Bombyx mori: one gene and its partner. The protein of the gene in region 1 interacts with the protein of each later gene in a biochemical or structural test. Links are inferred from orthologs where the notes say so. Each region holds a gene or a part of one and is shown in the gene's direction. Other genes may lie near its edges. The genes, in order: elongation factor-like GTPase 1 and ribosome maturation protein SBDS.

Region 1 (3,832 bases):
ATTTTTATATCTAAAATGTTTAGTTTTGATAAAAGTGCTCTACCAGAAAATAGGCCTAAAGCATTGACTTCCGAAGAAATGGCTTTAAGAAGAGAAAAAGCAAGGCAATTGCGTGAAGAGTTAAAACAGAATAACGCTAATATAAATAGGCAATCAGAAGAAAAGTCACCACATGAGGAACAAGAGAAAAGTGCTGAAGATGAGAATGAAAAAGAAAAAGTGACATTTATTGCTTTTGCTAGAATTTTTAGTGGGAAAGTTAAGAAAGGTGATAGAGTATATGTCTTAGGCCCCAAGCATGATCCCTCTAAAATTCTTAATTGTAACATTAAAATAGATACAAATAAAAAGTTAAAAGATTTACAAAGCGATGAACACATAACTTGTGCAGAGTAAGCATGTTAAAGTTTTCTATTATCTCTGTATAAGCACTAACTGGAGTCATTAGACATCTCAAAATGACCTTGAGAGATCTAAGTCTCATTTTTACAGTATAGCGGACTCCTCAAACCGGAAATACATGACTGAAATAGGCAGGAGGATGATGCTTAGTCCTGAAGGCTTACAATGTGCCCCACCACTAATTAGACTTGATTTGAAAGAAACTGCTTTAATATTATTCAAATTTGTTGCAGAGTTAAGCAACAATTTAAAATTTACATATTAAAAATTGTTAGTAAATATTTTAGTAAACAGTGGATACATTTCGTTATCTTACTGACACGTCAGCATTTTAATGGCTATGGTATTTCTAATTATCTTTCCTAGTGTTTGAAACCCGCCACCATGTTTAGAAGGCTACTAATTAATTATGTTATAATGGTTAATAACATCATTACTAAACGAATTGACTGAAAAGAAAATAAACTTATTTTAAATAATCCTAACAAATTCGAAACATAAACTAATATGGAATATAAGTCCCTATTACAGTCCATGTTAGAGGGATAAAGTATTTGCTTTTTACTGGAAGCTTATTTCAATGTACCAGGTTGATACCTCTGATTTGTTGAGTTTTGTTTTTTCCCTAAAGCAGATTACGGCCAGCCTTGCCAAATTATAATATCGATTTTATCAGATATCATCAGAATATAAATTAAAAAATGGAAATTAAATTAAACTCCAATATTTTTTATCCTAATTTTGTAAATGCAATGATTACTGATGCTGTTATTTGTGCATTATAGATTAGTCCTTTTAACTACAGTATGACAAGTTATTAGACTGAATGATCTTGAATAGTCATCCAAGCTTTGTCAAGCTTGATTACCATTTAAAATATTCATCATATTATATGATTTTTAAATGAAAGTAGTTTTTTTTTAAATAAGCCAGTATTTGAATTAACTTTCAGAATCAAATCATTATACATTTTGATGGGAAGAGAACTAGAAGACATCGATGAAGCTGTTGCTGGTAACATTATTGGTGAGGTTCGATATTTGAATTTTGAAAAAAAAACGTACATTAGAGTCTATATGCAGACAAATGTCTGCTTGCTTCTAAATCTGTTAATTTAAGTGTCGATATTGATGTTCTATAATCATAGCTATAAGGCTATTTACAGACCATTGTCCAAGGCACTAAAACAATCCACTACCTTGAAGAGAACGGAAAATATTATTAATTTACTAAACTGAATATCAATAGTTCTCATATATTTATAATTCAAATTCCATAAACCCGCGTTTTCTCAATTCTGTAGTACCTATCCCTAAACCGCTAAAAATATCGCGATCAATGAATTAAATATACTCATGATTTTTACGTTGCCCGTAACCAAACACTATAAAAATCCTAATGAACATTGCTTTCACTCACGGCGAACTAATAATTGATCTCTGTGACTACTGAATCTCTCTTGCACTGTGTACATGCTTAAGTCCCCGTGACGACTAATAATAATAGTAATCATACGTCCGAATATGATTTCTTTGTTGTTAAATTTAAAAATAAATTACAGGAATCGGCGGCCTAGAGGAGCATGTACTAAAGACGGCAACTCTGAGCAGCACAGTAGCTTGTCCGGCTTTTAGCGAGATGCAATACTCAGTGGTACCTATTTTAAGAGTAGCGATAGAGCCTACTAATCCGTCACAGTTGCCTCAACTAGTAAAAGGTAAGAATTGAATAATTGAAAAGTGACTTTTTTTTTGTTTTAATCCGATCAAAATTCTGGGTATATTTGTGTTTTAAAACAAATTACTTTAAAAACTCAGTTTGTAGCAAATACTAAGTTTAACTTGTGATCAAATTCTCCTTTCAGGTTTAAAACTGTTAAATCAATCTGATTCGTGCGTACAAGTTTTATTACAAGAGACTGGAGAGCATGTACTAGTCACCGCCGGGGAAGTTCATCTTGAAAGATGCTTAGAAGATTTAAGGTATATTATTGGGGTTATTTTTTAATTTTTTTAAGTGAAACTTCTTTGGGCGCATTGAGAGTAAAATTTAAATAGCAACAGATTCGTTACGGCTAGAAAGAAAATATACAATTTAGGAAGAGCGAGACTGAGAAAATAGACAGAGCGTCTCGCGAGTCACTGTTTACGGGCTTCGGCCACTAGATGTCTTATTATTAGTTTCTTATTGCTTCTGTAGATGGCAGTAGCATACTATCTTGTACTATATTTATTTTAGCGACATCTATTGGATTTCGTATAAACTACTATATTGCGATGCCACCGGTGTGAATTGTTTAATTCCTAAATTATATACAGAGAGCTAGTGGCATTTTAAATAAAAGTAATATTTTAAATTATCAATTAATATAATATTAAGTACAACCTAAAGACTCGTTCGGTAATCATCGAATACCGGCAACAAGTTATTTCTAGGCACGTTGAGACTAAAATATAACTAGCGACAGATTCGTTACGGCTATAGAGAAAAGATACAATTTAGCGTTATCGTATTTAGCTGCAGAGTGTCTCCCGAACCACTAGACCATGGAGAGGGGGAAATGACAAAGCGAGCTAGGTCATTTCACCTATACACAGCATTCCGTATTACAAGAGAAATTAGATTTAAGGATGAAAAATGAAGAAAACCACAAACTACACACCGAAAAATAAGCTTGAATGTTTTCACGTTCACCTTTTTTTTTTAAATAACGTGCAAGAATGCTTTACGCTTTCGCCTCTTTGTCTTTTCGGCACACAAAGCCCGGGCAATATGAGGCCGAAGTCTGAATTGTATTGTACAGCGGTAAAAATAGACAGAATAGTAGTAACCAGCCGTGCGGGCTATTACCAGTGAAATTCAATTTGGCCATGAGCTCAATGATAGTAATAAAAACTAGGGTGCTCATAGATGCTCGCAATTGATTGTTTGTTAGTGATTTGTAGTACTAAATAAATTATAATTCTTGAAAGTGATCAAACATTGGTAAAATGTTCTATGTGGTAGTCGATACTAATACACTCGCGAGCAAAAGTTTGGAATCACTTACTTGAAATTGATTCCGCGCGATCTTGTGTACTAAATATTTTTTTGATAATCATAAAAATGAGATCATTTTAAAGGTTGAATTCCTAACTTTAAACTGATACCAAATTCATTAAAATCAAGCCAGTATTTAAGAAGTTATCTTGGATTAAGTGAAGGAATAACGAAAAAGACGTGTTTCAATTGCTTGATACGTCGCGAGTTGCGGCCTACTGACCCCTATAAAAGCACCTGTTATCAGATTTTCTTTATCAGTCGACTTTCACACGTTGACTGGTACATATCTCGGCTACTTTTGACCCTTTACCTTGTACGACAATTGGGACAACACCTACAGAAGTAGCACAAATCGTAGCCCTATTGCAAGAAGAGCTCAACCAGCGGA
Region 2 (4,429 bases), on another chromosome or scaffold:
AGTTCTTTAATATCCCAACCGCTGCTGACAAAAATTATCCCTGAAACATGTCGGGCTATTTATAAATGTCTGGCATATTAAATAAAGATGACAGAAATAAATACTTTTTATTCGGAAATAAAAAACAACCTAAAACGTCCTTAAGTACGGAGAGCTATGGGACGACTGAAATCATTAAGTAACTAAATGCGATTACACCTTCCTAAAAGCGTTTTCTAATAAGGCTTCTAAATGATTTAGTCAGTCAGAAACCATCCTTGCTACTGAATTTAGTAGGCTAGCTTACTGAATGCTATTACCCTTCACTGAATTCAGTAGCGACTGAATTTAGCCAAGCGTAATAAGCCTTTAAGAAAAACACTTCTTAATGAGGGTAATACCCATGGAGTTAATAAGTACCTATATCTCAAATATTGGGTGTATTATCTATGAAGATATTTAGACTTTATAGAATTTAGGACTTTTTGCATTCCCGATCCTGCGGAAAGAATGGAAAGCAGCCGATGTCGCCCAAAACATGTCATCTCGGATCCTCCCGATCCACTAATGGTGCTTTTAGGTACCTCAAGCACCGGTCACCGTTCTCGTCGAACCCGTCGCTTGCGACGAAGGGCTCGACGAGTACATTAACCCTCAGACACAGCCCACTGAGTTTCTCGCCGGATCTTCTCAGTGGGTCGCGTTTCCGATCCGGTGGTAGATTCTGCGAAGCACGGCTCTTGCTAGGATTCGTGTTAGCAACGTCGTCAGGTTTGAGCTCCGTGAGCTCACCTACTAGTTAAGGTTACGCTGGAATAGCCTCTCAGGGCTACCAGCTTAGGTGAGAAAAAAAAAGGACTTTTTGGCGGGAACGCGAGGAGTGAAGTTGTGTGATTTGTTTTATTTTGTCTATTTAGTGTTTTTTCGGGTTTAAATGTGTAATAATGGTGGTTTATTAACTGTTTAATATCTGTGAAAGTGCACAAATGTGGGAAAATGAAACAAAGCCGCTGGACGTAACTTCGCAGGATCCTCCAAAAAGTCCACTGAAAAAATCTTAGTAAATGACCACCATTTTATTGAGATTATATTTCATCCCATTTCATTTCATCCCATCCCAGTTGATTAATGTTTCAAAGTAATCATTTTCATTTCATTTCACTCCATAATATCATTTTTCATAAAAATATGAATATAAATTAAAATAAGACATGACCTAAAGGTCTCAGTTACCAGTTCATAAAATCCCTTAAAAAAATTATAGAATTTAGGACTTTTTGGCGGGAATGCGAGGAGTGAAGTTGTGTGATTTGTTTTATTTTGTCTATTTAGTGTTTCTTCAGATTTAAATGTGTAATAACGGTGGTTTATTAACTTTTTAATATCTGTGAAAGTGCACAAATGTCGGAAAATGAAAGAAATCCGCTGAACGTTACTTCTCGGGAGCCTCCAAAAAGTCCACTGAAAAAAATCTTAGTAAATGACCACCATTTTACTGAGATTACATTTCATCCCGTATCATCTCATTTCATTTAATTTCATCCCAGTTGATTAATGTCTCAAATTAATCATCTTCATTTCATTTCACTCCATAATATCATTTTTCATAAAAATATGAATATAAATTAAAATAAGACATGACTTAAAGGTCCTAGTTACCAGGTCATAAAATCCCTTAAAAAAATTGAGAATTTAAAGCCGAAGCAATAGAATCACTAAATTAAAAACAATGTCTAAAATATTTACACCTACGAATCAAATACGTCTCACAAATGTGGCGATCGTAAGATTAAAGAAAGGCGGAAAGAGGTTTGAAATAGCCTGCTACAAGAACAAAGTGCTGTCTTGGCGAAATAAACTGTAAGATCAACAATACTTAAATATGTTTTTACATTCACCTTCGATAGTGAGAAACACACCAGTTTACTTTTCTACTTTCTCAATTATTTCGTAAGATTCGTTTAAGAAAATATTATATAAATTGAAACAAGGAACACGCGCGAGACCATAGACATGAAAAAACGCAGAAGTTAGATGAGAAAATTTATCAAATAACACCCCTAATTTGTAATAATTACCTATCATCAGACTTCAAGAGTACTGTAAGTTCCTCATTTTGTGAAGAAACGTGAACCGCAATATCTTCATAAAGCATCTTCATAAACTATTGAAAATTTTAATTTAGACAGTGGCTTGGCCGTGTCTCCTGCAGTCTTAAAAAACTATGGTGACTACTGACCATTAGGTGGGCTACATACTCTTCTACTTACAAAAGTAATGAAGAATCGGTTGAAAAAAATGATAAAAAAATATAAGTCAAATTCTTCTTTCTATCTTAGAAAATTTATCATAAAACTAGTGATCAATCCATAAAGATGCTATAAATGTAAAATTATTACTTAGACATTTATGTATTATGTTATGTCAATGCTATTTAACATTAATTTATGATTAATATTTAATAATTAAATTAATCAATGATTAATGTTAAATAATTAAATTCATCTATGATTAATGTTAAATAATTAAATCAATCTATGATTAATGTTAAATAACATTGCATCAGTGTTCATTTTGATTGAAAGAAATAGTTGTTACAATAAAGCAGTAAAGTTTTAATTCAAATATGCTTCTGAGATATGCCTTTTTACATGATGTTTCAAGAAAGCTCTCCACAATTATCAATGGTTTTCCTGTACCTCTGGTTCTACTAATGTACCCAAATTTTTTGTAACAACAAAAGCAACTAGGTAGTAAAATAATATTCAATAAACAAATCATCAAAATTAAATAAACAATCCAAAAATACAGATAAGTAAGCAAGGTTATTATTATAAATGAAAGAGATGATTAGCATATTAAACGAATTTCAAACTTATGAAATTTCAATATATTCCTTCCTAATTGCTGTGTAATTTAATATGGCTCGAAATCCATTTTTATTTAAATCCATAAATAAAATTTTCTCCTATTAGATTACAACACGAGTCACCTGGAGAATCAATAAAGAGTAGATTTCAAAACAATTTTAATATAACATCAGATCAAAGTAAAAGCTATTTCGAAAAATGTTTGCCAATACTCACAGCACCTATGTCTTTCATGTTTTTTCTATACTCTTTAGTACTATTACTATTACTGTTACTATTACTGTTACTGTTACTATTACTGTTACTATTACTGTTACTGTTACTATTACTTTTAGAATTCTTTCATTTGATCTTTTTTCTTATTACAGAGAAAAAGACATTGATGAAGTTTTACAGACTCATACCGTCTTTACAAATGTTTCCAAAGGACAAGTTGCAAAGAAAGAAGACTTAATAAAGATTTTTGCCAAAGAAGATCAAACGGAGATATGCAAAGAAATTCTGGAGAAAGGAGAACTACAGGTTTCAGACAAAGAAAGACATTCACAGATAGATTCTTTATTTAAAGATATTGCAACTACTGTAGCTGATAAATGTGTCAATCCAGAAACAAAACGACCATATCCAGTTTCTATAATAGAGAAGGCAATCAAAGATGTCCACTTCTCAGTCAATGTAAACAAAAGTGCAAAACAACAAGCTTTAGATGTGATACAAATATTAAAGAATGAAATACCTATTGAAAGAGCTCAAATGAGAGTAAGGATATTACTCACTGGTAAAGATGCTCGGAAAACTAAGGATAAAGTTGTTAAGCTTGCTACAACAGTGGAAGATGAAAACTGGGAATCTGGAACTGCTAACATTGTGTGTCTTATAGATCCTGGCAACTTTAGAAGTTTGGATGAAATGATAAGAACTGAAACAAAGGGCACAGGGCAATTTGAATTATTGAATTTGAAGGAAATGGTTGAAGGTGACCAAGCACTTTAGTTGTATTGTTGCAATTTTTCTGTATTAAATAATTGTAAACTAATGCCCAAATTAAATTATTTTCTAGGCTGAATTTCATCTATCAGTAGGATAACTTACTTAGTATTCATGTTGTAATGCCCATGGGTTCTGGTAATTAGTTTACATCAGGTGGCCTTTGAACAGGTATGCTCATCAATAACAAAAAAGCCTTTTTAACAAGTGTATAGGTAGTATTCTTACATAACAGATCTCCAGAGTAATCAGAAATTTTGATTTTAATCCAGAAAACTTGGCACAGACAATTCTCGAGATCAAAATCATAAAAGTCTATCCTTTGGAATGCAGTGCAACTTTCTAGAACATTCATGAGGTATGACTCAGTGAGATCTCGATCTCCCAGTTAAATTGAGCTAAATCTTATTCATTAGTGTTGCTTTAGCCGATGAGCTGTCAAGGTGTGATTGTAACATTGACCATGTCATCAATGGTCAGTGACCTTGACGCCTGTGCCTCAAAATTCAGATTTGATTTTTATTTTACTCTGTATACCTACTTGTATATTTAGTATTAAGGGCCAGGCTGTACTTGTTCTTGTCTCGTGTGTT

The links.
Region 2: the proteins of elongation factor-like GTPase 1 (region 1) and ribosome maturation protein SBDS interact in a biophysical measurement, tested with the Homo sapiens proteins (2 studies listed by BioGRID and IntAct, with this or other methods). The link is inferred for Bombyx mori from reciprocal best matches to the Homo sapiens genes EFL1 and SBDS.

What each region holds. Positions count from the first base shown.
Region 1 is NC_085127.1:6,787,059-6,790,890, forward strand, and holds part of elongation factor-like GTPase 1, read left to right. Parts: coding exon 1-392; intron 393-1,354; coding exon 1,355-1,428; intron 1,429-1,963; coding exon 1,964-2,119; intron 2,120-2,266; coding exon 2,267-2,384; intron 2,385-3,832. UniProt on the Homo sapiens protein: GTPase involved in the biogenesis of the 60S ribosomal subunit and translational activation of ribosomes.
Region 2 is NC_085116.1:4,483,383-4,487,811, forward strand, and holds ribosome maturation protein SBDS, read left to right. Parts: upstream 1-1,634; 5' UTR 1,635-1,708; coding exon 1,709-1,839; intron 1,840-3,217; coding exon 3,218-3,842; 3' UTR 3,843-3,885; downstream 3,886-4,429. UniProt on the Homo sapiens protein: Required for the assembly of mature ribosomes and ribosome biogenesis.